5 linked regions of the Sus scrofa genome follow. The protein of the gene in region 5 interacts with the protein of the main gene of each other region in a biochemical or structural test. Links are inferred from orthologs where the notes say so. Each region holds a gene or a part of one and is shown on either strand. Other genes may lie near its edges.

Region 1 (3,941 bases), about 20 Mb from region 5:
TGGTGTCAGGCCTGGCACAGCTGGCCCAGCCTTACCCAGCAGCTCGGCCCGGCAGGCAGACTCACTTCTCCATGGCCTCCATGGTGTTCTCCAGGCGCTCTCCAGATCCTGCACGAGGCAGCTAGGGTGGGTTCCTGGGGCCCTGACCCCTGCCTCTCCCCCGTTTCCCTCCCTGCACTTTCCCGTCAGTTCAGGCTGCAGGGCCTCTTCTGCCCTCTTCCGCCCTGCCGTCTGGCCTTCCGCCTCCCTTGAACTCTGCTCTCCTTTTCTCATCCTGCCCTTTGGACGACCTAGCCCTCTCTCTGCTGTCCACCCTGGCACCTGTCTTGCTACCCTCTCTCCATCCTCAGGAGCACCCCCCACTGCCACCGCCTCCTGCCCCATGCCTACCCTGGTCCAACTCACCTCCCCGGTGGGCTCCCAGGCGGGGATAGAAGGCTGGAGCCCACGGTGTGTGCAGCAGGCGGGGTCGGCGCAGGAAGAAGATGGAGAGCATGACATAGCTGCCCAGGGCGGGCAGGGCGTAGTACAGCAGAGGGCTCATGGCCGCGCCACTCTCCGGACTCCGGCTGCCACGAGCTCAGCCGTTCCCGATGGACTCTGCCGACTGCCTGGCTGATGTAGGCTGGCTCCACCACACCCCTTGGGACCTGCTGAGCCTGCTGCTGGCCCGGGGCCAGGCTGCAGGGCTCCGCTGGGGATGGGGTAGAGGCAGGAGGAGAGGCCCGGCAGCTCTGGTCCTCGTACCCCAGGTCCTTCACGCTTGCCCAGTGTCCCTCTCTGCGAGATCACACTGGGGGAACCAGGTGTGTGTGTCCCCTCACCTTCCCCCCGCCCTACACCAGCTCTGCAACAACACTCCCCCTCCCGCTGAGGCGTGTGGCCTCGGGGTGTACACCATCCGGCCCCTCGCCCTTTCCAGGGAATCCGGAGGTGCAGTGGGTGTCCCTGAGTCACTCTAGAATCACTCCCAGCCTGTTGGACACCGGAAGTCACGAGAGAGGGGGCAGGAGAGTGACTAAGGGGGAAACTGAGCCCACTCTGTCTAGGCATCTGGAACGCCTTCCACTCCCATCCTTAACCCTGGCCAGCGGGGGAGCCCAAGGCCACTGTGCCACCCGCCCGGTAAAGCCACAGATGGGAAGCGGGCGGCTGGGCGGGAGAGTCCATCCCCCAGGCAGCAAGGGGTAGGGTCCGGGCGACGGCAAACACAGACAGACCAGGGCCATCCGTATACACATCTCTATATTTATATATTAGATACAGGCACGGGGGTGGGCGGGGGCGCTGGGCGCTCCAGGGGCCCCCACCTCCACTTCTGTTCACCCACACACAGAAGCAGCGGGGACGTTAGACGTGGCAGCTTGGTTGGGGGGGGGAGAAGGGGCTTAGGCCGGGGCCCTGCTCCTCCGGGATACTAGCCCTTGAGCCTTAGGAATGTTCCTTCAGGGGACATGGGGTGTGGCTTTAATGAGGCAAGCGGGGCAGGGCTGGCCCTGAGTCCCTACTCAGGGTCCTCTCTGCCCCACCCCCCTCACCTCAGTAGGTCCTGGGGCAGCCAGAGCCCTTGGATTCCAGAACTACCAGGGATTGGGATAGCTGGGGGCGGGGCGGGGGGGGGGCAGGCGGAGGCTGAGCAGCAGCAGGGGGAAATTTGCTTTGGGGCCACCTGAGCCCCTCAGGTCCTGGGAGGCGGGGAGGGTGCATCAGCCTGCCTGAAGCAGGACGCCTGAGCTAAGCAAGGGGAGGTGGCCAGGCCCACCCTCTGCCCCCGCCCCGAACCTGGGCTGGCTGTCGCCTGGGGGGGTGATCTGGGCTGGGCTCTGGGTCCATTTTCTAACAGTCCGGCAGGGGAGGGGCAGGCAGGAGGCAGGGCCTAAACAAAAAGGCAGGCAGGAGAGGAACCATTAATTAGAAACCATGAACCTGTGGAAAGTAATATAATGACTTTTCTATCACAGGAAATCTCGGTTGCTCCATGGTTGCTCCATCTTGCTCGGGTTTGGGCTGACACACCTTCCTGAGACCCCGCCTCCCAGGAACAATTTGTTTCAAAGTAGCCAAGCAAGAAGGATGGGCACCCTGACCTGACCCATGGAAAGGGGGAGGGTACATCCCCTGCGTTAGGGGTCAATTGGGAGGGTCTTTTCTTCTCTGCACGTGCTTTTTGAGCGCCCGCGCCCTTCTGCAGAAGTAGAGAGCCCTGTCGAGATCGCCCCGTGTTCATGTGTCTCATTTTCCGACCCTGACCATCCGAGCCGTGTCCCCCACCAGCCTGCCGGAGCCCTGACCTCAGCTCCCCTCATGTTATCTGCGCAGCCGAGTGGGATGCGGCTGGGTTTCCTTATCTGGGAATGGGGCTAACCAGGAGCACCCGGTTCAAGGTACTGCTCTAAGGACTGGTGAGTGAACACACGGGAACCTCTTTGCTAAATGCGTGGCGCTTGGGAGGTGTTTGCTCTCCTTATCAGGACTGTCTCCAGGAAACTGAGGTGGAGGAGGGTGAGGTGTCTTGCGCAAGATCAAGCAGCCCTTATTACGCATCAGAGCCGGGCCTTGAACGCGGGGGTGTCCGCCTTCTGCTATCAGGCCGCAGCTGGCCTGGGACAGAAGGGAAACTAGAGAAGAGTGGGGGTGGGGGGAGGCCCGGCAGGGTCCCCCACAGGTATGTGAACTGCTGACCTGATACTAAGTGTGAAAAGGCCTGGCATATATGGGTCAGGCTGGGTGCTGGCAGCTCCTCCCAAAGCAATTACTGCTCCACCTGCCTCTCTGCCCGTCCAAGGGGAGCCAAAGCCTGGTTCTGCTCCATGATGGGTGGGAGGGGCCCTCAGTGACCTCTGAACGCTCGCTGGGGCTGGAGTTGCCAGGGGTTGATAGATGGGAGACGTGTGGGGCCGGAGGGGACCACCGGGTCTGTGGACGAGGCTGGCTCTGGTCCTTCTGTTGCCACCACACCTGTGGCTTGTGGATATGGGAAAGCTTGGGACTGCGTGGGGGCCTGCTGGGCGCCCTACTCTCAGGGGGATTCTGGGCGTGGGTGGTTGCGGGGCACTCACCAGGCCCCAGAGAGCAGAGGCATCTGTCCAGGTTAGGGGGCCTCCAGCCCTCCGGGCTGGAAGCGGGCTGTTTCCTGGAAGATGAGTTCCTTCAGCCGCTCCTTGGGTAGATCATCCAGCTCCATGTCGAAGGTGAAAGGCTCTTCGGCCACTGGCTGAGGTGGCAAAGAGGCGGGGAGGCTCAGGACAGGGACCCAGGGGTGCCCACCCATCCGGCCTGCCTCTCTGGCTGGCCCACCTCATCTGTTGGGTCGTAGTACTGCTCCAGGTAAGGATGAGCCAGTGCTTCCTCCACTGTGATCCGTTTGTTGGGGTTAAAGGTCAACATCCGGTCCAGCAGGTCAAGAGCTAGGGAAGGGCAGGGGTCAGGGGTCAAAGGGAGGGCCAGAGGAGCTCCCAGAAGCATTACTTTGCTTCTCTGTGTCCAGCGGCCTGTCTACTCAGGCAGCTGCAGGGCTCATGTACTTTCCCCTGCACCCAGGTTTTTTTTGTCTTTTTGCCTTTTCTAGGGCCGCACCTGCGGCATATGGAGGTTCCCAGGCTAGGGGTCCAGTCAGAGCTGTAGCTGTTGGCCTACGCCACAGCTCACAGTAACTCGGGATCTGAGCCGCGTCTGCGACCTACACCACAGCTCCTGGCAACGCCGGCTCCTTAACCCACTGAGCGAGGCCAGGGATCGAACCCGCCACCTCATGGTTCCTAGTCAGATTCATTAACCACTGAGCCACGACAGGAACTCCATGCACCCAGTTTTTACCAAACACACACTGGCTCCCACGCTTCTCTCACCTTTGGGGTCCGACTTGGGGAAAAGCTTGGCCCAGGCCACCTTGGTCTTGGAGGGCAGAGACTGCAGGTAGTTTCGGGCCTTCATGTTGATGA
Region 2 (4,707 bases), on a different chromosome or scaffold from region 5:
GCTGAGGCTCATGACCCACTGGCTCGAACCCTGACAGTGTGTCCAGGGTGGTGAGCGCGACAGAAAGAGAAGTCAAAGCAGTGCCATGGGGGTCTGAACGGGGACCACCTGCCCAGGAACTTGAAAAGGGAAAAGGGTAGCACCCCCACCTGTCTGCTTACTTCCTCCACACACACAACCACACACACACACACACACACACACACACACGCACACAAAGACTCCCACACTGAGAAATGGCAAAAAGAGTCCAACCTGCCTGCTGAAAAACAGATTCACCAGAAACTTGTCCCATCAATCAGTCTTGTCCAAATTCAGGAAAAATTTGAGTCTTTAAAAATAACAGAAGCCAGAACTAAAAAAAGCTGGCAAATGACCCTAAGGTCGTTTTAAGAGTCTCAGTCTGTTATGATCATTGAAACGCGGAGTTTAAAATCAATTAAATAAGAAATAATTTCCTGAACCCTTCTAATGGACTTATTTTCCTGTATTTTTGCCTTGAATGACCCCTCACGATAATGTTTTTTTGGTTTTCCTTTTAAACTCAATGAACTTTCAACATCGCTCTCTTAAGGTCTAAATCAAGACTTTCTATATGATGAGAGTTCCTTCCTCAAAGGCCAGTTTCTGCATATCGGTGTGTAAATCTGTATCAATTCCTTCTACATTTGTTTATGAAAATAAAAGAAATTCTTGGTCTTAGGAACAGTTACTAGAAGAGTCAAGGGCTATCTGAAGAAAGGCTCCCTTTCACTGAGGCTGACTTATCTCTTAAGGCTCCATAAAGTGACCACAAAACACAAGCACCCTTGCCGCCTCCACAATCTGAGCCACACGTTCACCTCTGATGCGTGACATCTGGCAACAACGAGCACCTGGTGACTCAGGCTCCTGCCTTGTGGCTAATGCTCCCCACACACGTACTTAAATGGATCAGAATCTGGAATCACCACCACGAAGCTGACTCACTCCAATGGCACCTGCAGACAGCTTTGCCCCACATCACTGGAAAGGCTGACCACCCCCCCCCGCAAAGCTGGAGAGCACCGAGCGCCCCCCCCACCCTTTCCCTGCCACGCTCATCCCACCAGGGAGCCCAGTCGCTGGGCAGATACCTTTGATCATCTGCTCCAGATGCTCCCAGAGAATGTCACCCACAAAGTCAGGGGCCAGCTCCAGAAAGCGCTCCTTGCCAAGGTTACACAACACCTGGCCGGTCATGCCAAACCTCTGCAGGTTGACGTCCACCAGACTGAACTCGTTGGTGGCCCAGAGAAGCCACTGGCACACCTGCTGTTCGGTCCACAGCCAGGGATCTACCGGAGAAGGAAGAACAAAAGGAGACAGTGAGACCAGACGCACTCCTGGTTTACCTGCAGAGCCCAGATGGGCACCAGGGTCCAAGGAAACGAGTGAAACACCCAGGAAGAGTCTGAGGCGCTGAGAGCATGGCTGGATGAAGTGTTCAATTGGATGGGTGGTGAAATGAAGCACTGGCTCAAAGGACAGACATCTCTGTTCCTCTTTGCAAGATGCCCTACACAAATGCTTGAAATCAAGTCATCCCAAGCCATGGGGGTCTCGGGGCGTCCGCAGAGCACAAGGCAGGTGCAGAAAGCAGCACAGGAGGCAGCACTTACTCTTTGGGATGCCGAGGCGGCACTGCTCCTTTTTGAAGCCACTGAAGGTAGCTTTTAAGGCTTGACTCATCACAGCCTTGCTGCATGGGGTCAACAGGGGCAACTCACAGTTGGTCGAGTCTGCAAAAGAAACCCCACGGGGACGTTAGTTCAAGCTGGCAACACAGGCAGGACTGAAGGCAGAATATCCTTGTTTTTCAGGAAGCACAATTCTGATCTCCAATCTTCAGCATCATTTTGAACTTAATTTTTTCTTTTTAGGGTTGCACCTGCTAGCCTACATCACAGCCACAGCAACTCAGGATCTGAGCCGCATCGGTGACCTACGCTGCAGCTTGGGGCAATGACAGATCCTTAACCCACTGAGCGTGGCCAGAGATGGAACCTGCCTCCTCACGGACCCTGTGTGGTATTCATAACCCACTGAGCCACAACGGGAACTGCAAGCATCATGTTTTACAAGAGTATAAATATGAACAAAAAATGCTTTTGACTTAAATTGAGACAACATTATACATCTCATAACCACACATTAAAAAAAAAAATCTAAAAACTCGAGTTTGATTTTGCCAAACTTCATAAAGCAGTGATGGCTAGGTAACATTCCTATTTAAGATGCTTCTTAAATTTTAGACAATGGAAGAAACTGCGTAGGTTTTGGCCAAAAGGCTTAGGGGCTTGTAAGCGGCTAATCTGGAAGTGACTTCCATTAAACTCAGCCGCCAGCAAAGGGACCTCGGGCATCACACTTAGCACCCGGGAAGGTGACACACCTTCCGTTTTTACTGAAAAACAATCTCCTCTGGATTCCCTCGGCAGTTTCGAGAAGGATACATGATCATCACATGAGGGCACGCTTACGTAAGCGTGTGTTTTAATTAATTTTCTGGGCTGTTTTTCTAGCACCTAACTTCACGTGTCCAAATAATCTCTGGAATGCTTCCAACTAATAACCCCATCGCAGTGATGGCAGAGGCATTCGCGGATGTGCGAGTCCTTTAAAAAGAATAAACAACGACATGAAGAAGTACAGAAGCCGATACAGACGGGTCAAGATGAGCAGGAATCATTTGTCGTCCCCAGGCTCGGAGTGGGGGAGGGGCAGATCTGGGAACCCAGGATGGAAAGCTGGGGTGCAGTGTAATGCCCACTGGTCTGCTTTGCAGGGTGGACTGGGAGGTGAGGATGGGCTGGCTGCTGTGTTGAAACACCCCAAGGGCAAGCTCAGGGGCTCCCCTGTCCCTTTGCTCCCAGCAGGGAACTCGCTCTCCTTGGGGGGGGCGTCTGGCAGGTGACACCCACCACAGGCATTAAAAAGGAAAACTGCCTTCTCCCGGATCCAGAGCCTCTCCCTGACTTTCCCTACAAAGATTCAAGACACCAACTGTCATCTCTCTATTAACTGAACCGCTAAGGGACATCACGCTCAATTTGTCAAGTCCCGAGGAACAAATTACCGTGAGAAATTGAATCCAAGCCTGTTGGCACTTCTTGGAGCGTTTGTTCTTCATTTAGTGGGGGGAAAACGGAGAGCAGGGACCCATCCAAGGTGTCAAAGGCAGGCTGGCGCTGCAAAGACAGAGGCAAAGAAGGCTGACACATGACGGTTCAACTCAGTTAATGACCTGTCTGAAAAGCGGTCCATGCTTTTGAGAGGGTCAAATCAATCCAAAGGATTCTATCTTCCTCTAGGTGACTTACGGGCATGTCTTCGAGATTCTGCAGGCTCGGTGCCAGACCACCAAAATAAAGTGAGTATCGCAGTAAGGCAAGTCATACAAATATTTTAGTTTCCCAGTGTATAGAGACGTTATCTTTATTAAGGCATCCTTGTATCTAAATTATGTCAGAAGAATATCCTTATGTTTCAAAAACAATGCACATAGATAATTTGAAAAAGTCCTCCCTTGCTAGAAAATGCTACCATCGACTGAGTCTACAGAGAGTCAACCTTTTTGCTGGTGAAGGGTTTGAAACATTGTGAGAATCACCGAAAAGATGACACACACAGAGACACAAAGTGGGCAAACGCTGTTGAAAAATGGTGCCAGTGACTTGTGGACGGCAAGGTTGTCACCAACCTTCAATTTGCAAAAGATGCGGCAAAGCCAGGTGCAGTCTAACACTTTGGTACCCCTGTAATCACCTGCAGCATCAGAATGACGGAAATTTCTTTGTAATGGTCTCACCAACTTAAATGAATACATTCCGTCAACAAACCTAAACACAAGGAATCTTCCAACAGGGCCGGGAGGGACCTCGAAGACCCCCATGGGAGAGAAGCTCCGTCTGGTTGTGTGTATCAGAAAAACGACCCTTGGGGAGACAGTTTCAGCCCACCGCAGCTAAAAAGAAAGCCAAGTGACCAAAACTCAAGAAGCAAAGGACAAAATACATTACTTTATCTGTGGAAGCATTTACTCTGAGATGTTGACCGTAAAACACGAGCACAGAGACTAAAGTTCTCCCTGATCTATTTCAATGGTGCAGAAAACTGTAGGACAATTGAGAAGAGTCCTGAAGGTTTAATTTTATACAAGTCAAGTCTGATGAAAAGGACCGCCCCACCCCCACCAATCAAAAGGGGACAATTTCCAAAGAATGTCAGTTGAAAGTAAACCCACCTCCAATTCAGGGGCAAGAGAAGCACACAGAGAAAGAGAAGCCTGGAGCTGAGAGGATTTCAAACAATCTCACAGCCAGGAAAATTAAAAAGCCAGGGCAGAGTTCCCGTCATGGCTCAGTGGTTAATGCATCCAACGAGGAACCATGAGGTTGCAGGTTCAATCCCTGGCCTCGATCAGTGTTGGTTAAGGATCCGGCGTTGCCGTGAGCTGCGGTGTAGGTCACAGATACAGCTCAGATCCGGCATTGCTGTGGCTCTGGCGTAGGCCAGTGGCTACAGCTCCGATTTAAACCCCTAGCCTGGGAACCTCCATATGCTGCAGGCGAGGCCCTAGAAAAGGCAAAAAGACAAAAACAAACAAAAAAAAAGCCAGGGCCAGCACCGGGCTTCTGGAAGCCAGACCATTGTTTTTAATCCTAGACATTGAGTTTTCTAACTTTT
Region 3 (4,707 bases), on a different chromosome or scaffold from region 5:
GTCCTAAAAAGACAAAACAAAAACAAAAACAAAACGAAAGTGAGAGAAATGGCTATAAATGACCAACAGAGACAAAATTTTTACTATATGTCCTATTCCTCTCCATCCCACCCAAAAGGCCTGGTGAGACATTCTGGCTTTATACTGAACTCAATTTGTCCAAAATATGTATTAACTTTAGCTTACAGGTCTAGGAGGCATCATGTATTTCTTCTCTAATTTCAGCTGGATATGGAAGAAAATCAAATTTTTTCTATGTCCTTAAGCAAGATAACAAAAATATGAAAAATAAATAAATAGGCGATCAGTGTTTGATAAACTACACTTGGTGTCAAGTTTTAAAAAGGCTGAATTGCTGTAAGAACAATTTCTTTTTGCCAGAATATTCTATACTCTACCTTTCTTTCCTTTAATTTTCCTTCTTTTGTTTTTTCTCTCAAGACTTGGGAGTTCAGGAGAAGACCCATCCTAAGAAGATAAAGAAAACTGAATATTAAACATGTAAAGGCCATTATTGGGGTTTATTTGGGTTTATTGGGAGGGAAGAATCAATTCTAAGATCATCATACATTATTCTTCATTACTGCTACCATCTCTAACAGGACAGTAGGGGTCTCATGCATATGGTATGAATTCAAATATTAGTTGAATGAATGGATCTGATTTAAAAAAAAAAATCCAAGGTAAATTACATTCCTGGCATCCTAGAGGTGGCAAAGCCCACAGGGCTTAGGCAAAGCATTTCACCTGGGTAAAAGCTAGTAATACATTACCTGATTTCATAATTTCTACATTAGAATTCAGCAAGAAGATCTTCAAAACAAAAAGCTCAACAGTCTCAGACTAGCCTCAAGGTAACAGCTTTGTCATAATCCAACAATGCCCACTACAGCATCTAGCTCAAAGAGGCAGAGAGGTGGGGAAGTTAAACCCAGGTTTAGAACCTATGCCTCTTACTTTGTTATACTGTCTTGGAATTAAAGGAAATGGCCCATTTTCTCACAGTGCCAAACTCCAGACCATAGTACCACCAGCAACTCTTTCTTTTTAGAAAGGGTTCCACAAAGAGTTAAGCGCAACATTAGAAACAGAGGCGCCAAAAGAGAAGTGTCAGTGAAGTAACGGACCGGGATGGGTAACTGAAGTACAAAAGATACCGAGTGACAGGGACTAAGACTATGCTCACACACACGTACTCTCATGGTATTAAAACCTCCTCGGGGATAAGCCTAGTAGTCCCGGGGGCTGACAAGCACACATGCCCAACCAATTCCACACTAGAGTTTCCTTCTTCAGTAGCAGTACAGAATGTATCATGAAAACAGATAAAGTTACAGCTGAAGATATGGCTTATTCCTTGGTCAGTTGATACAAAGAATCATTGGCTTAGAGACTAGTTTTAGAGATGACTTCATAGTTTCCTAGTACTGTACATTCCTATTCTATTACACCTAACTTAGTAGAGCTACTCAGTGAAAGAATCCAGGAGGATAAAAATATGAAAGTAAGAATAAGAACCTCAGAAATCTTCTATTCTGGAATAGGGAGAAGCACATCCCCAGATATCCAAGAAAGATTAAACAGTTAAGTCTTTCTTATTATGGCCAAGTCACCACATAAAATGTTCTACAAACAGCACAAGAATCATACTTACCCCAGTGGCTCTTCGTTTTTTTCTAATGCTCTGGCCATCATTTTGTTCAGCACCAGAGGTACAGCTACTATCTGTGGCTGCATCTGCCAAACTGGAGATTGCAAGGGCTGAGGATGCACTTGATGACAAAGAGTTTCCTTCTCCATTACTCTCCTGGGCATTGTGATTTTCTGAAGGTGATGTGGAGCTCTCCTGGCTGTGCAGGTCTTTCGCCAAATGCATCAAAGGAATCGTACGGTCAGATGATAACTGGGCACTATGTCGCCTTTGAGTAGCATCATATTCAGCCCTTTCATCTATTCTTAGGGAGGCAGCCAGAGGTGTGACTTCCTGCTTAAGGACCATGGTTGTTTTCTGACTCTGTGTAGACCTCAATGAGTTATCTGGTGAAAAAATCTGCTGGGGCTCATTTTCTTTGCCAGTACTTTCCTCACTGAAGAAGCTATACACAGAAGCCCTATCCATGATCACACTACTCTCCGAAAGGCTTCGTTTCCTTGCCAACCCAGGGGATGAAGAAATGGAAATATCTTCCCACTGGAATCCTTCTAGATTGGACAGATCAGGCTCCCCATCCAAATCCAAGTCTTCTTGTTCATTTTGAACCAGAGGCACCATTTCTATGCCAAACCTCAAGAAATAAAAAGAAAAAAAAATCATAAATCAGACATAGTTGGGAAAGGGGGAAACCACTTAATGTGCCCAATTCTGTTTGGCACTGAGGTTACAAATACAAACAAATAACATGGTTTCTGCCCTCAAGGAACAGTTTAGTAGGAGTTCCAAACATAAAGTATGTAATGCTATTATAAGTATTATAATGTAATGAGTTCTAAATTAAATATTTTTTGTGTACAACTATATACAAAGGGGGGAGTAAAACTGAAGATTTAATGTGGAGTTCTAAATCAACGATAATAAATGTGTAAGTTTTAACAGCAAATAGAAGACAAACAATAATGTTTAGTGAGCATTCACAAGCAGGAGACACCATGCTAAGAACTTTATAATCTCAAGGATACAAGTTATGGGAATAGAAAAGGGGGCATAATAATTATGTTATTTCAACAAGGATAGAAATTTAAGCCTGGATGGCTATACAACTGTAACACAGCAGGATGATTTTCAAGTAGCAAACCTATGGTAAAGGCTGCTTTACCATTCAGAAAAGTTTAGTGCCTCAACAAAAGATGAATAGCCAAACTACTACATAAGTACTTCAGAGAAAGTATTTTGTGATTATGAATATAATGTCCAGAGTAAATACAGAAAGATAAGCATCTACATGTTCTAAGTAAAATGCAATGGAAACACTTACACCTAAAAGTCGTACCACTGATTAAGATCTACAAATAGATACAGATTTACAGACATACTTTTTTATGCTGCGACTTTATGGCCCCATCACCAAAATGCCGGATTTCTGATGGTTTTTTCCTATGTCCCCACCTCATTTCTCAGAAGCAGGTATGCTTCTTTTTAACCTCAAGTCCTTGCTAGGAAACACTTTATTTCATTTGTTACAGAGTAGGAGTCACTCTTGGATATTTAAACCAGACATCTACAACGTATATTTTTTGCAAACATTTAATTAAATTTAACAAGTAGAATTCTCTTGACCAGAGTCAAAGGGCAAGTTTAAAAGAAAAAAAGAGAAATGGAAACTGAAAAGAAGCACACACCTGGGTAAGCCTTTGCCTAGTTCTTGCTTTTTCTTGGTTACTTGCTGAATGACCTGTTCCCAGTTGACATTTCTCCGAGATGCATTTAGAATCTGCCGAAGGGTTGGCTTGAGTCCAGATTCCTTCTCTGTCTCACTCTTTCGATGACCACTGATATTGCGAATGCGGCGAGCACTATTGAGGTTTGGCTCAGGAAGGTGTGCTCCAGTTTTGCTCTTTAAGCTAATGTGCCGGGTTAGATCTCTCTGGAGTGAGGCAGGAAAGCCAAGCTTACTTAGTTCAGGCAGGAGGGGACCTGAGGGCTGACCTACATCGCTTTTTTGAAGCTCGGCATCCAGGCTGGTACTCTCGAAGCCTTCTGTTTCATAAGATACATGAGGTTTAACAGGGTCATCAACCTGTGCCTCTGCTAGAGAGGTTTTCAAATCTAGCAGTAAGCCAGAGTGTGGGCTGGTTATAGATGTCATTTCCAACTCAGATTCTTTCTGGTCAACTGTTGAGTTACATGGAGAGGTGGATGGTCTTCTAGATGTTTTCAGGTTTTGGTCATCCCCCCTTTTCTCATCAGCAGCATGAGTACTGCAGGATAAAACTTCTGTAGTTACAGAATCCAAGGTTCCAATTTTTGTTCCATGCTTTTCTGTGTCAGATATCTCTCCATCGCTTTCATCTTCTGATGCGTGTACTTGAAACTCAATCTTCAAAGATCCTTTTTCAGACTCTTCTACATTCCTACTTGCTTTTGCATAATTCCTGGTGCTTTTAGAAGTGCTAAGAAGTGGATTCTGCAATGATTCGTGACACTGTAGCACCTCTTTGGCTTTTTGTAATGTATCACTTAAATTTTCATCAGGATCTCTTTGGATTCCTGATGTACTTTTATTCCCTTTTAAAACACGAGGACAAGAACCCTGCGATTTGGATATTGAAGAAGAACCCTGATTTTCTTCCACAATGGGTTTGTCCAGGGGATTTGAATGTTCTCCAGGAAAGGAAGAATTTGTTTTGGTGGTTTTGGAGGCATTCTTTGAATCTTGTTTTTGAGAAATTGATTTAGTGGCTGGAATTGGAAGGAGTGGGGATTTTAATGATGGTGTTTTATTTGATTTATGTTCTTGTTCAGGTTTTTCTGTAATGGGACTTTCCCTCACCACCTCATAGGAAGCAGTGCAGCTGGAAGTGGCTTTGCGACTAAGAGACCCGGTATGTTTTTTTTTGTGTGTTTTCAGCATTGAGGGATTATTTGTTTCATCAACTTGGGGGTCTTTTGTTCCTCCAGTTATGAGGCTAAAATCAAAGAGAGGCTTCTCTATCACTTCTGACTTGTTACCAGTGACTTCTTTCATTCCTGATTGTAAATCCAAAGTCTTC
Region 4 (4,707 bases), on a different chromosome or scaffold from region 5:
CATCTGCCCTCATGCTCGATGCACACGCGTGCCACCGGCATTCAAGGCTTGAAGACATCTTGGGAGGGACCAAAATCAGCTACCAATAATCCAAACGGATGGGTTCCAGAGCTTTTCAGAAATTCAGGACAATCTTTTTGAGGCAGGTAGATTTTGGAGCCTCCGTTTCTTCCAACAGATGTCTGGGTTTTGTTTTATGGTTTTTTCAAGTTCAGGCCCAGATAAGACACGTAACAGTGGTAAGGTGACTCTACTCATGCACAGAGAGAGCAGAGCCATATAACCAAACTCCTGTCCAGGTGCCAACTTCCCAAAGAAGGAGAAGGGAACGTAGATGAAGGGAACCAAGCAGAGGCAGTCTCTCCACTGAACTAAGCGGAGCCTGCAGGTCCTCGGAGGACCCTGGAAACTGGTGGTGGCCTCTGACCATTATCTCAAGTGGTCTGATTACATTTCACTGTAAGACTCCGACATAAAGACAGAGGCTTGGTTTGGGTTTTTCCTCGGGTATTTGATAGCTGGTTGGGAACAGAGACTGCTGGGAAAACAAGTTTATGCCTGCACAGAAAAACAGTTCCCAGCTGAGATAAAATGATTAAACTCTGCTTGAGCAGCTTATCAGATTGAAACATCCCTGTACCTTTGGCCTTAAACCCCACCCAGAACAGCTATGTTCTTTCAGTGCGGGGTTGCTGTTGTTTAATTACAGAACAAAAGCTGCAGCCTCCATACAAACATCACGTTCAGCTCTTCAAGGATCTGCAGAGCGGCTCTCAACTGTCTCTCTCCCCTGCAAACGGGTGAGATGATACAAGTTTTGTTCTCAAACCCACTCCCTCATTGTCTGCTTCTCCGAGATTCACTTATTCTCTTCCTTTGCAGGGAGGTAGACCAGAAGCTCCCCCAGGAGTCCGCATCATTACAAGACAGGAAGTGGCCTGAAAAGACCGGAAGTTGAAGGAAAGGCGTGACGTTGGGGAGACCACCGAAGCCGTCCTCATTTTACAGATGAGGACTCTGAGAGAGTACAGGGCCTTCCTTCGTTCCACGGTTGTTTCGAGAGCCCAAAGAGAAAAATGCGTTTTCAAGCATTTGGGAAACCGGAAGATGCTGTGGCGACATTAACAGAAACCATGGCCCGCTTAGACACTCCAGGACACCTGCCTGCCCCGTGGTGATGACTAGAGGGAAAGAGCGGATTAGTGCCATATATTTAGGTCCCACGGTCTGGTAGACTCCACCGCCGGGTTTATAAACCAATGCTCGCGTCATATCTGCTCGAAGCCTGCTGTACCTTTTCTCCTCTGGAAACAGGCGCTCACGTCAACACCTATGAGCGGTTTTTGTGCAGGTACACGGGGCAGCACCTCGGTGCTTCGGGGAAGCGGGTGCAGGTGCCCAGCAGTCCTCGGCCAGACCCACCTCCTTCTCCACCCTGCTTATTTATTTAATTTTCAGCAGAAGCTGAAGAGAAGGAAAAAAGATAACACTTCTCTGCTCCAGAGGAGTCTCCCTTGGGTCTCTCGGGGGGCACTGCAGAGTGGAAAAATCTCCCTAAACAAAGGAAGGTATTATAGGGAATAAAAGGGCTAAGCCTGGGCTCTGCTCCCTGCCCCCAGCGTCTGCGCCAGGGCTTGGAGCTGGTGACCACAGGGAAAGGGTGGGCCTGGGTCAGAGAGGGCAACGAGCTTCTAGGCTTACAGTCAGCTGGAGGGCACTGCTGACTGCTGGTAACTGCAATTTATTTTAAGAAGAAATTCAGAAAAATAAGCGCAAAAACACCCAACTTTGCCGCCTGCTGCTGTTTCTATACTCAGCCAGGACTGTGGTACATGAGTCACTTGGTCCAAAAAGGTTGGAAGGGGCTGGTAGGGGAGGCCGTGTCATTACAAGGTTGCAACACCACGTCCTGACATAACCCTAGTTTCTGCTCCAGATGAAGAAGATGCACCTCGCTCACTGCTGCAATTCCGGTCCAGTTAGTGGGCAGAGAAGCCTGTTTTATTCCGAAGCTCTGCAAAATAAAGCTTTCTCATAGATGGGACCATGGAGCAAGGGAATGCATCTTAAGATTGCCAAAAGAAGAAGAAAAAGAAGGAAAACCCTTTTGCTGCTGCCTGTGGGCACTGCTTGTTCAAACAGAACACGAGTCCCAGATGAGGACTGGGAGCAGAATTTTGCATACCAAGAAGTTTCAGGAGCCTAGTCTTACTAAAGATTAAAACTGGAACCTCCAATCCATAGGAGAAAAAGAAACTAGCCTTTATTGAGCACCTGCTGTTTACCAGGCACTGCATGGCCTCTCTCTGTAGACCATACATGCTGTGATTGGACACCCAGATTACAGCATCAATGCTGCACCACTGGGCACGCTCCCAGCCTACTCTCAAAGCCACCTGAATGGGGCAGCCACCTCACCCTGTCCACCATGCATTTACCTTTTTGCAGGATCTCCAGATGCTCCCACAAGATGTCTCCAACGAAGTCTGGAGCCAGCTCGAGAAAGCAGTCTTTCCCCAGCGCACAGAGGGCTGCTCCGTTCATACAGAACTTCTGGAAATCCACACCTTTCAGGCTGAACTCATTGACAGCCCACATCACCCAGTCCCGAACATGGGTCTCTGTCCACTGCCGGGGATCTGAGGCAAGAGAGCAAATCAAGTTCCAGCAGATCAGGCTCTTAACTCTTCAGAGAGGACAGGAAAGGATCTGACCTTGGCCAAGCATGGTCTCAGATTCCCAGAATTAGGAATGCCCAACAGAGCACCTGCCACAAGCCTCCTGCCCATGTGCATCATCCCCATCTTCTCTCTCCTGCCAGCTAGGAGTCACTGTCATCAGCCAAAAAGGAACAGCGTTTTCTCTACCCACGGAATCTGCAGGCAAAGATTCCAGGACTCCCCTCTCTTCCGGCCTTACTTCCATCAAACTTTTCTTTAAAGCCTGGGACAAGGGAACAGATGACTTCTTTAACAGTGACAATAACAGAGTCAGCTATGCTCCAGATGCTGCACTCACCTATCCCTGCTCTTAACTCTCGTAATTTACTCTATTGCCTTATGCTTAACCATTTTTATCTGAATTACAGTTAGTGTAGTAGAACCTAGGTAAGAGAGGAGGACTGGTTCCAGGAGCCCCTTGGGTACCAAAATCCATGGATGCTTATGACCCTTATATAAAGTGGTTGCGTACACACAGCCCTCTGTAGCTGTGGATTCCCACCTCCTCAGATTCAACCAACTAAATCCGATCTGTGCTTGGTGGAATGTGCCCTGGGATACAGAGGACCTGCTGTGACAATCATAGCAATTAGTAATATAAGTCATTCAAATGATAGTAGAAACAACCTTACTAGGTACCTGTATTGTACCAGATACCTTGCAATGTTACGCACATATCATGGGCCCTGCGATGAATGCCAGGGCAGAACAGATAATACATAATCTTTCTGTGTGGCCCCTGGTTTAACATGACTACACCAGCTAATGACACTTAAAGAGCTCAGATGATGGCAGACTGCGGTGCCCACAGCCTGCCTGCTCTCAAAGACATTGTCTTCAATCTAGAAGATGACTTTATGAGATGTTGGAAAACCCAGTGGTCAGAAATCAGAAATCACTGTATGCTGCCTTATGACTGGGCACCGCTGTCAGCTGAGGCTTGTGGGAAAGCAGAGCACATGGAAAGGTGTGCAGACACATTTACTGAATCTGCCCAAGGCCTGCACCTGGCAGGGTGGAAGCCTCCCATGAAGCAGCAGCACTGACCTGGTGTAAAGTCAGCATTTCTCTTACTCAATAGAAAAGTGTTCTTTCTGCTTTCAGTTGCTCAGGAGATGCTGCTTGGTCAAGGCCTAAGTCTTCCCCATTTTTCCTTTCTGACAACTCAAGCCACTTCCCCTTACAGTCCTGAACAAACCCTTTCAGATGAGAACACCCAAGTATAAACACATTTCACCAAAGGACATGGAACAGAAAAGAGTCAATTCCCAGAAATGCAGTTTGCTGAGTTCATCCAATGGCGGCCGCAGCATGACTCGGAAACCATGCTTTCCCAACTTGTCTGACTGTGGAGCCACTTGAAGAGCTTCAGAATTACTGATGCTAAGAGCAACGGTGACTTAACTGGCTTGGGACATGACCTGAGCTGTGGAATTTTTTGATAATCCCCTATCTAATGTGCGAACAAGTCTGGGCACCACTAAGACCAAAACCAAGATGGCAGCCACAAGCCCGAGAGATAAAGGAGCACCCTATGTGCCCGTGCTTGTTCCAGCGGATGTCCGCAAAGACCTGGAGCTGCTGACTGAAGGGCAGTGAGTAATAATGTCTACCTCACCCAACAGGTAAGGAAACTAACCATACCTCAAAGTCTGATCACTTCTCTCCCTTTCCGATTACAGAACATACCTTTTGGGATTCCCAGGCGTTGCTGCTCTTTAGAAAAACCACTGAATGTAGCTTTCAAGGCTTGAGACATCATTTCTTTGCTGCTTGGAGTTAGGAGTGGGACATCTGCACATTCCATATCTGTCAGAAAAAAATAATATCATATGAATACTAGCAAAATTTAATAGGCGACGGAGTTCGCTAGACGGATGGTGGAGATTACTTTGCAATCCCCATAAATATCAAATCATTGTGCTGTACACCTGAAATGAATATAATGTTATATGTCAGTTACATCTCGATTTTAAACAAAACGAAA
Region 5 (4,707 bases):
CGGTGCGAGAGCAGTAAAACTCGTGGAAACTGAGACTTAACTTAGAAGTTCTTAGTAAATCTAGGGTAGTCAACGCCTTCTAGTCAATGTTACTTCATGTTAAAAAGATTAAATAATGAACTTTATCTTTGGGGGAGAGACCTGGCCTATTTTAAATACATGTACACTTGTATACAGCAGCAATGTGAAGACACTCCAACAATGAGCAAAAGGGAGGGAAAGGCAGGAACATGAACAGGAAAGAGTTCTCTCTACTTTTATGCCGATTAAATAAGAACCAGGCTCCAGGAGAGGAGAACTAGTCAAACGACCCAGTTAAGCCTGACTTCGCCTGGGCGGGTCAGACATTAGGAGTGAACTCATGGGGCCTTTCCTCACCCCCTCTTTTAAATCCAGTGTCTCTCAGGATCACATGTAAAACTTAGAATTTAAAATACACAATTAGGAGTTCCCCTTGTGGCTCAGTGGTTAACCAACCCGACTAGAATCCATGAGGATGCTGGTTTGATCCCTGGCCTCGCTCCCTGGGTTAAGGATCCGGTGTTGCTGTGGCTGTGGTGTAGGCCGGCAGCTGTAGCTCCGGTTACACCCCTAGCCTGGGAACCTCCACATGCCGCAGGTGCGGCCCTAATAAGACAAAAAAATTTCAAAAAAATACACAAATGATAACCAAGAAAATGACAACTAAAACCCCAAAACAAAACACAGAAGCACACAAACCAAAAAAGCTGTAATACATTCATTCCACTTTTGCATGAAGTTCACTCCAAGTTGGTAAGAGTCATTCCAGACAAGGCAGAAACGATGGAAGACACGGGGGTGGGGGATCCAGAGATGCTAGGACACGAAACGTTAAGTCTAGAATCCTCACGTCCATGACCTAGTAAGACCTGCTGAGGTCAGGGGGAAGCTGGGCTGCATCCACGGAGAGGCTCAGAGCCCCGAAGAACAGTACCTGGGACACGGCTGCCTGTGCCGCCGGCTGCCCCAAGCCCACGCTGTTCACACTCATGGCCCCGCTGGCTGACGGGAACTGATTCTGCGGCAGGAACTGGTTCTGCGCAGGCGCCTGGGCCATCATGTTGTTGGCATGTGTGCCCATCATGTTTGGAGGCTGAGGCATTCGGGAAGGAGAAATGGCCATCTAAAAGACAAGGTCACAGACAGCTCAGGGGGCGGCAAGGGCCAGAGCCTGCTGGATAAGCGGGACGAGACAGGAATCTCCAAACCCTCCCTCGCTGGAGAGGACCCACCACTCCCTAGACCTGCTGCTCTCAGCCTCCCTCTAAGTTTCTCGAGCGCCATTTCTAACGAGCCCACTTCACACAGTCCTCTGCATACACACCAATAAACAGTGTGCTACAGCTTCAAGTCCCAAATGTGCCTTTTATGAGTTCTTGGAGGCACTTAAGAAAGCAGCCTCCGGAAAGGAAACTCTAGGAGTCACCAGACACTGACAAGTCCCTCTCGGTCCCTCCTCTGAGGCGGCTTGGCCCCATCCTCAGAATTCCCATCTTTTCATTACGTCATGGGTTCCTAGGAATCTGTCATCTCAATAAAAATAAATAATGGTCCAATAATTCTTGTTATAGTAAAGTTGAGACAGAGAGGGAGAGAGAGAAAGGGAAAGGGAAGTGGCGGGGGAGGGAGAGAGAGAATCAGAGGAAATAAAGCACAATCCTAATCTGAGGGAGCAGGTAGCACAGGATTCCCAGCAATCGACACGTTTCCCTGCAGCGAGGATGCGCCCCACTCGAGCAAGGCCCCTCGGCCCGGCCGAGGCAGGCAGCAGCACTTACCCCTGGAACAGAGCCCATGCTGTTCATTGGGACAGAGTGGTTCATGGGGGATGCTGCGCGCGGTCCCATGGGAGCTTGTGGCAACTGTACGTTCCCCAAGGACATTGGGGTAAATGAATTCATCCCTGTGAAGATACCCACAGCGGTTCATTAGGAAGAGCACCCACAGGAAAAGAGAATCACAACTCACCAAATAAACTCTAAGCAAAACAGAATGAACACACACACACACTACGTATACAACGGAAAGGAAACCCCCTCAGTCAGAAGAGACGGCTGAGTAACAGACTGGTCAGGAAAAATGGCACCAAAGCTGCGGTGGTGAGGGTGGTGCAGTGGGGTGGGTGGCAGGGCAGCATGAGGAGGTGAAGGCAGAAAGGCAGGTAAGCTGCGAGCAGACGAGGCTGGGGCAGCACTCGTGCCAACATGTCGCGGTGACAAAGCAGACGGAGGCGGCCAGCTGGTGCCAGGGCGCCCACCCAGCCCGCCGTGCGAGCCTTCTGGGGCACCTGACTCCCAGCTCCTCTCTTGTAGGAAGCCTGCTCCCACCACCCCAGACCTTCCAGGCTTTAGACTTCTCGTGAGAATCTGCGGTAAGACTCAAAACATGGTTTTAATTTTGCAAGCACATCACGTGTTCCGGAAGTGCCCTGAGGCTGGCAATTCTCAACCTCAGCCTCCTCTCCACAGGCGGGAGGGATCTCACTGCCACGCTGCCTTCGCGTTCCCAGGGGCGCTGCACCATCAAAGACAGCACACCAGCTGCGCCTGTCTCTGGACCACGGGCTCTCTTCCTTAGCCATTCCCCAGGATAACCTCTGAGCTCTCCATAAACGCTGGTTCAGTAAGTCTGAGGACCCACAGTGGCGCGGGACAGAATCCTGGAGGCACCGCCTAACACAGGTGCGGGGTCAGGGGGCCTCAAGGAACACGGGACCCCCTCAGCACCGCTTAGAAATGTCACCTATTTAACTAGGTTTCAGCACAGGCCCAGGACTTCCCGAGAAGCCTATAATACAAAAGCGTCCCCCTCTCCATGAGGATTGTATTAAATAAGAGAAAAAGATGTACGAAGAAATAGCACCATAAAGAGCCGCTTTTCAAACCTCGATGTGCTGGTAAGGGGGCCTGTGCTTCCTTAGCAAACACCTCCTTCCCCGCTCTGCTCAAGATCCCAGACCAGAACCTTCCATGCCATCCCGACGCAGCACCAGCCACTTTCCTAAGGCTCAGCTTCTCTGATTTCTTGTTTCCTCTCGCCCTCACACCTAGCCCATCTAAACACGTCTCTGAAAAGCTTCCTCCGCATGATCAGTTTATCCACCAGGTCTTTTTCAGTAGGCAGTACAATTACCACACCTTTATTTTTATTTTAAAAACTTAGGTGCTCCTTTTCTTTATATGGCCACACCTGTGGCATAGGAAAACTCCCAGGCTAGGACTCGAATCGGAGCTGCAGCTGCCAGCCTACACCACAACGTGAGGCAATGCCGGATCCTCAACCCACTAAGCGAGGTCAGGGATTGAACGTGCGTCCTCACGGACACTATGTCAGGTTCTTAACCCGCTGAGCTACAGTGGCCACACTTACCACACCTTTAAATCGGCCTCTTCTCCCCTCTTCAACTCCTCTACACACAGCAGGAAAGCCTTGCTTTGGAATCTGGATAATGTCACTATTTCATTTCGCAAGCTGTAAAATCATCCTACTGTTCATGTCTCAATTTGACAAGAGCTGTAAAAGCTCTGAAATGACCCTCACCCCCAAACTCCCAAACTCAAATGACTGCTTCAATCATCACCAACAAAAAGAATCTCAACGGGAGAAAGAACCTCTGAAAGCTGTTCAGACCAGCTGCCAAGAGCCCGGCCTGACAAGGACTCTCTGAGCACCAACCTTCCCTGGCCAGCCTCTACGGGGCCCAGAGCAACCACCGCGCTTTCCTCACCTCGCCCCTGGCAGTGCCCCTGCCCCAGGGCGGGCTCAGTGCGCTCCGTTCAGAATGTTCAGAGTTTCTCTCCCTCACCTACAGTGCCTTTTTTGGGAGACTCTTCCTAAGGGCAACGTCTTGTCCATCCAAAACACAAACAAACAAAGGGTTAACTCCCGATCTCCCTGGAAAAGTCCCCTATGATCTCGAGACTTCCAACTGCATCAGATATGCCGTACTGCCCATGAACGTGGATGCTGCTCATCAGCAAGGAGGAGCGGGAGGAAGAGAAGGAGCGACAGAGAAACACAGAGGGAAGAGGACACACCCATCGACTCTGTGGCTGTGAATGTGAAACCAGAATGTGAGTGACAGTAATAGTTTGGTACCTTGAGAAACCTGCATGCGGTTCACAGGCAGGGGCATGGGCCCATCTGCAAGGGCAGAAAAAACAGCATTACAGAAAATCATCTTGCAAACTTACAGAGAAAGCCAGTCAACAGGGGCAAGAGCACCGAGCAGCCTGACGCTGGCACACCCTTTCGAGGCCCATCCACCAGGGGGACTCAACTTCTAAACACAGGCCATGGCCTCGGCCATGCCACGGCCACCCCCACAATTTTCTAAGCACAGGCTTCCTGGGAACATGATTCCACATGCTCAGAAATCATCCCAGATGCAGAAGGAGAAGCGGGGAGGCAGACGGAGAGCCAGAAAGGCAGTCCTTACTTGGCGGTCTCACGGGCTGGGCCTGTGGTATGCCAGGGGGCTGCGTCCCAGGGGCTGGTAAGGCGGGCTGGTTCCCCAAGATGCCTTGTTTGTGTAAACGTGACCTCCGTTTTTCTTCTAGTTCCTTTTGTATCTTGTAGATTTTCTCTGCTAATAAGTGATAGTACTCATCCTGAAAAGCAAACCTCCACACTAGTTACTCGTTACAAAGAAGCTCTGCGCGCGTGCGTGTGTTCTGACCAACTGAC

What was found.
Region 1: of the proteins of CREBBP (region 5) and MAPK3, one has a biochemical effect on the other in vitro, tested with the Homo sapiens proteins (2 studies listed by BioGRID). The link is inferred for Sus scrofa from reciprocal best matches to the Homo sapiens genes CREBBP and MAPK3.
Region 2: the proteins of CREBBP (region 5) and ETS2 form a complex in vitro, tested with the Homo sapiens proteins (2 studies listed by BioGRID, with this or other methods). The link is inferred for Sus scrofa from reciprocal best matches to the Homo sapiens genes CREBBP and ETS2.
Region 3: of the proteins of CREBBP (region 5) and ZNF106, one has a biochemical effect on the other in vitro, tested with the Homo sapiens proteins (2 studies listed by BioGRID, with this or other methods). The link is inferred for Sus scrofa from reciprocal best matches to the Homo sapiens genes CREBBP and ZNF106.
Region 4: the proteins of CREBBP (region 5) and ETS1 form a complex in vitro, tested with the Homo sapiens proteins (3 studies listed by BioGRID, with this or other methods). The link is inferred for Sus scrofa from reciprocal best matches to the Homo sapiens genes CREBBP and ETS1.

What each region holds. Positions count from the first base shown.
Region 1 is NC_010445.4:18,290,216-18,294,156, forward strand, and holds the end of MAPK3 (mitogen-activated protein kinase 3), read right to left. Parts: coding exon 3,849-3,941; intron 3,408-3,848; coding exon 3,298-3,407; intron 3,215-3,297; coding exon 3,092-3,214; 3' UTR 3,060-3,091; intron 1,877-3,059; 3' UTR 1,229-1,876; downstream 1-1,228.
Region 2 is NC_010455.5:202,470,362-202,475,068, reverse strand, and holds part of ETS2 (protein C-ets-2), read right to left. Parts: intron 3,210-4,707; coding exon 3,098-3,209; intron 1,761-3,097; coding exon 1,641-1,760; intron 1,317-1,640; coding exon 1,116-1,316; intron 1-1,115. UniProt on the Homo sapiens protein: Transcription factor activating transcription. Binds specifically the DNA GGAA/T core motif (Ets-binding site or EBS) in gene promoters and stimulates transcription.
Region 3 is NC_010443.5:128,931,487-128,936,193, reverse strand, and holds part of ZNF106 (zinc finger protein 106), read right to left. Parts: coding exon 3,337-4,707; intron 2,286-3,336; coding exon 1,655-2,285; intron 469-1,654; coding exon 399-468; intron 1-398. UniProt on the Homo sapiens protein: RNA-binding protein. Specifically binds to 5'-GGGGCC-3' sequence repeats in RNA. Essential for maintenance of peripheral motor neuron and skeletal muscle function.
Region 4 is NC_010451.4:55,406,953-55,411,659, forward strand, and holds part of ETS1 (protein C-ets-1), read right to left. Parts: intron 4,530-4,707; coding exon 4,410-4,529; intron 2,640-4,409; coding exon 2,439-2,639; intron 1-2,438. UniProt on the Homo sapiens protein: Transcription factor. Directly controls the expression of cytokine and chemokine genes in a wide variety of different cellular contexts. May control the differentiation, survival and proliferation of lymphoid cells.
Region 5 is NC_010445.4:38,485,508-38,490,214, reverse strand, and holds part of CREBBP (CREB-binding protein), read right to left. Parts: intron 4,632-4,707; coding exon 4,460-4,631; intron 4,165-4,459; coding exon 4,120-4,164; intron 1,925-4,119; coding exon 1,800-1,924; intron 1,145-1,799; coding exon 956-1,144; intron 1-955. UniProt on the Homo sapiens protein: Acetylates histones, giving a specific tag for transcriptional activation. Mediates acetylation of histone H3 at 'Lys-18' and 'Lys-27' (H3K18ac and H3K27ac, respectively).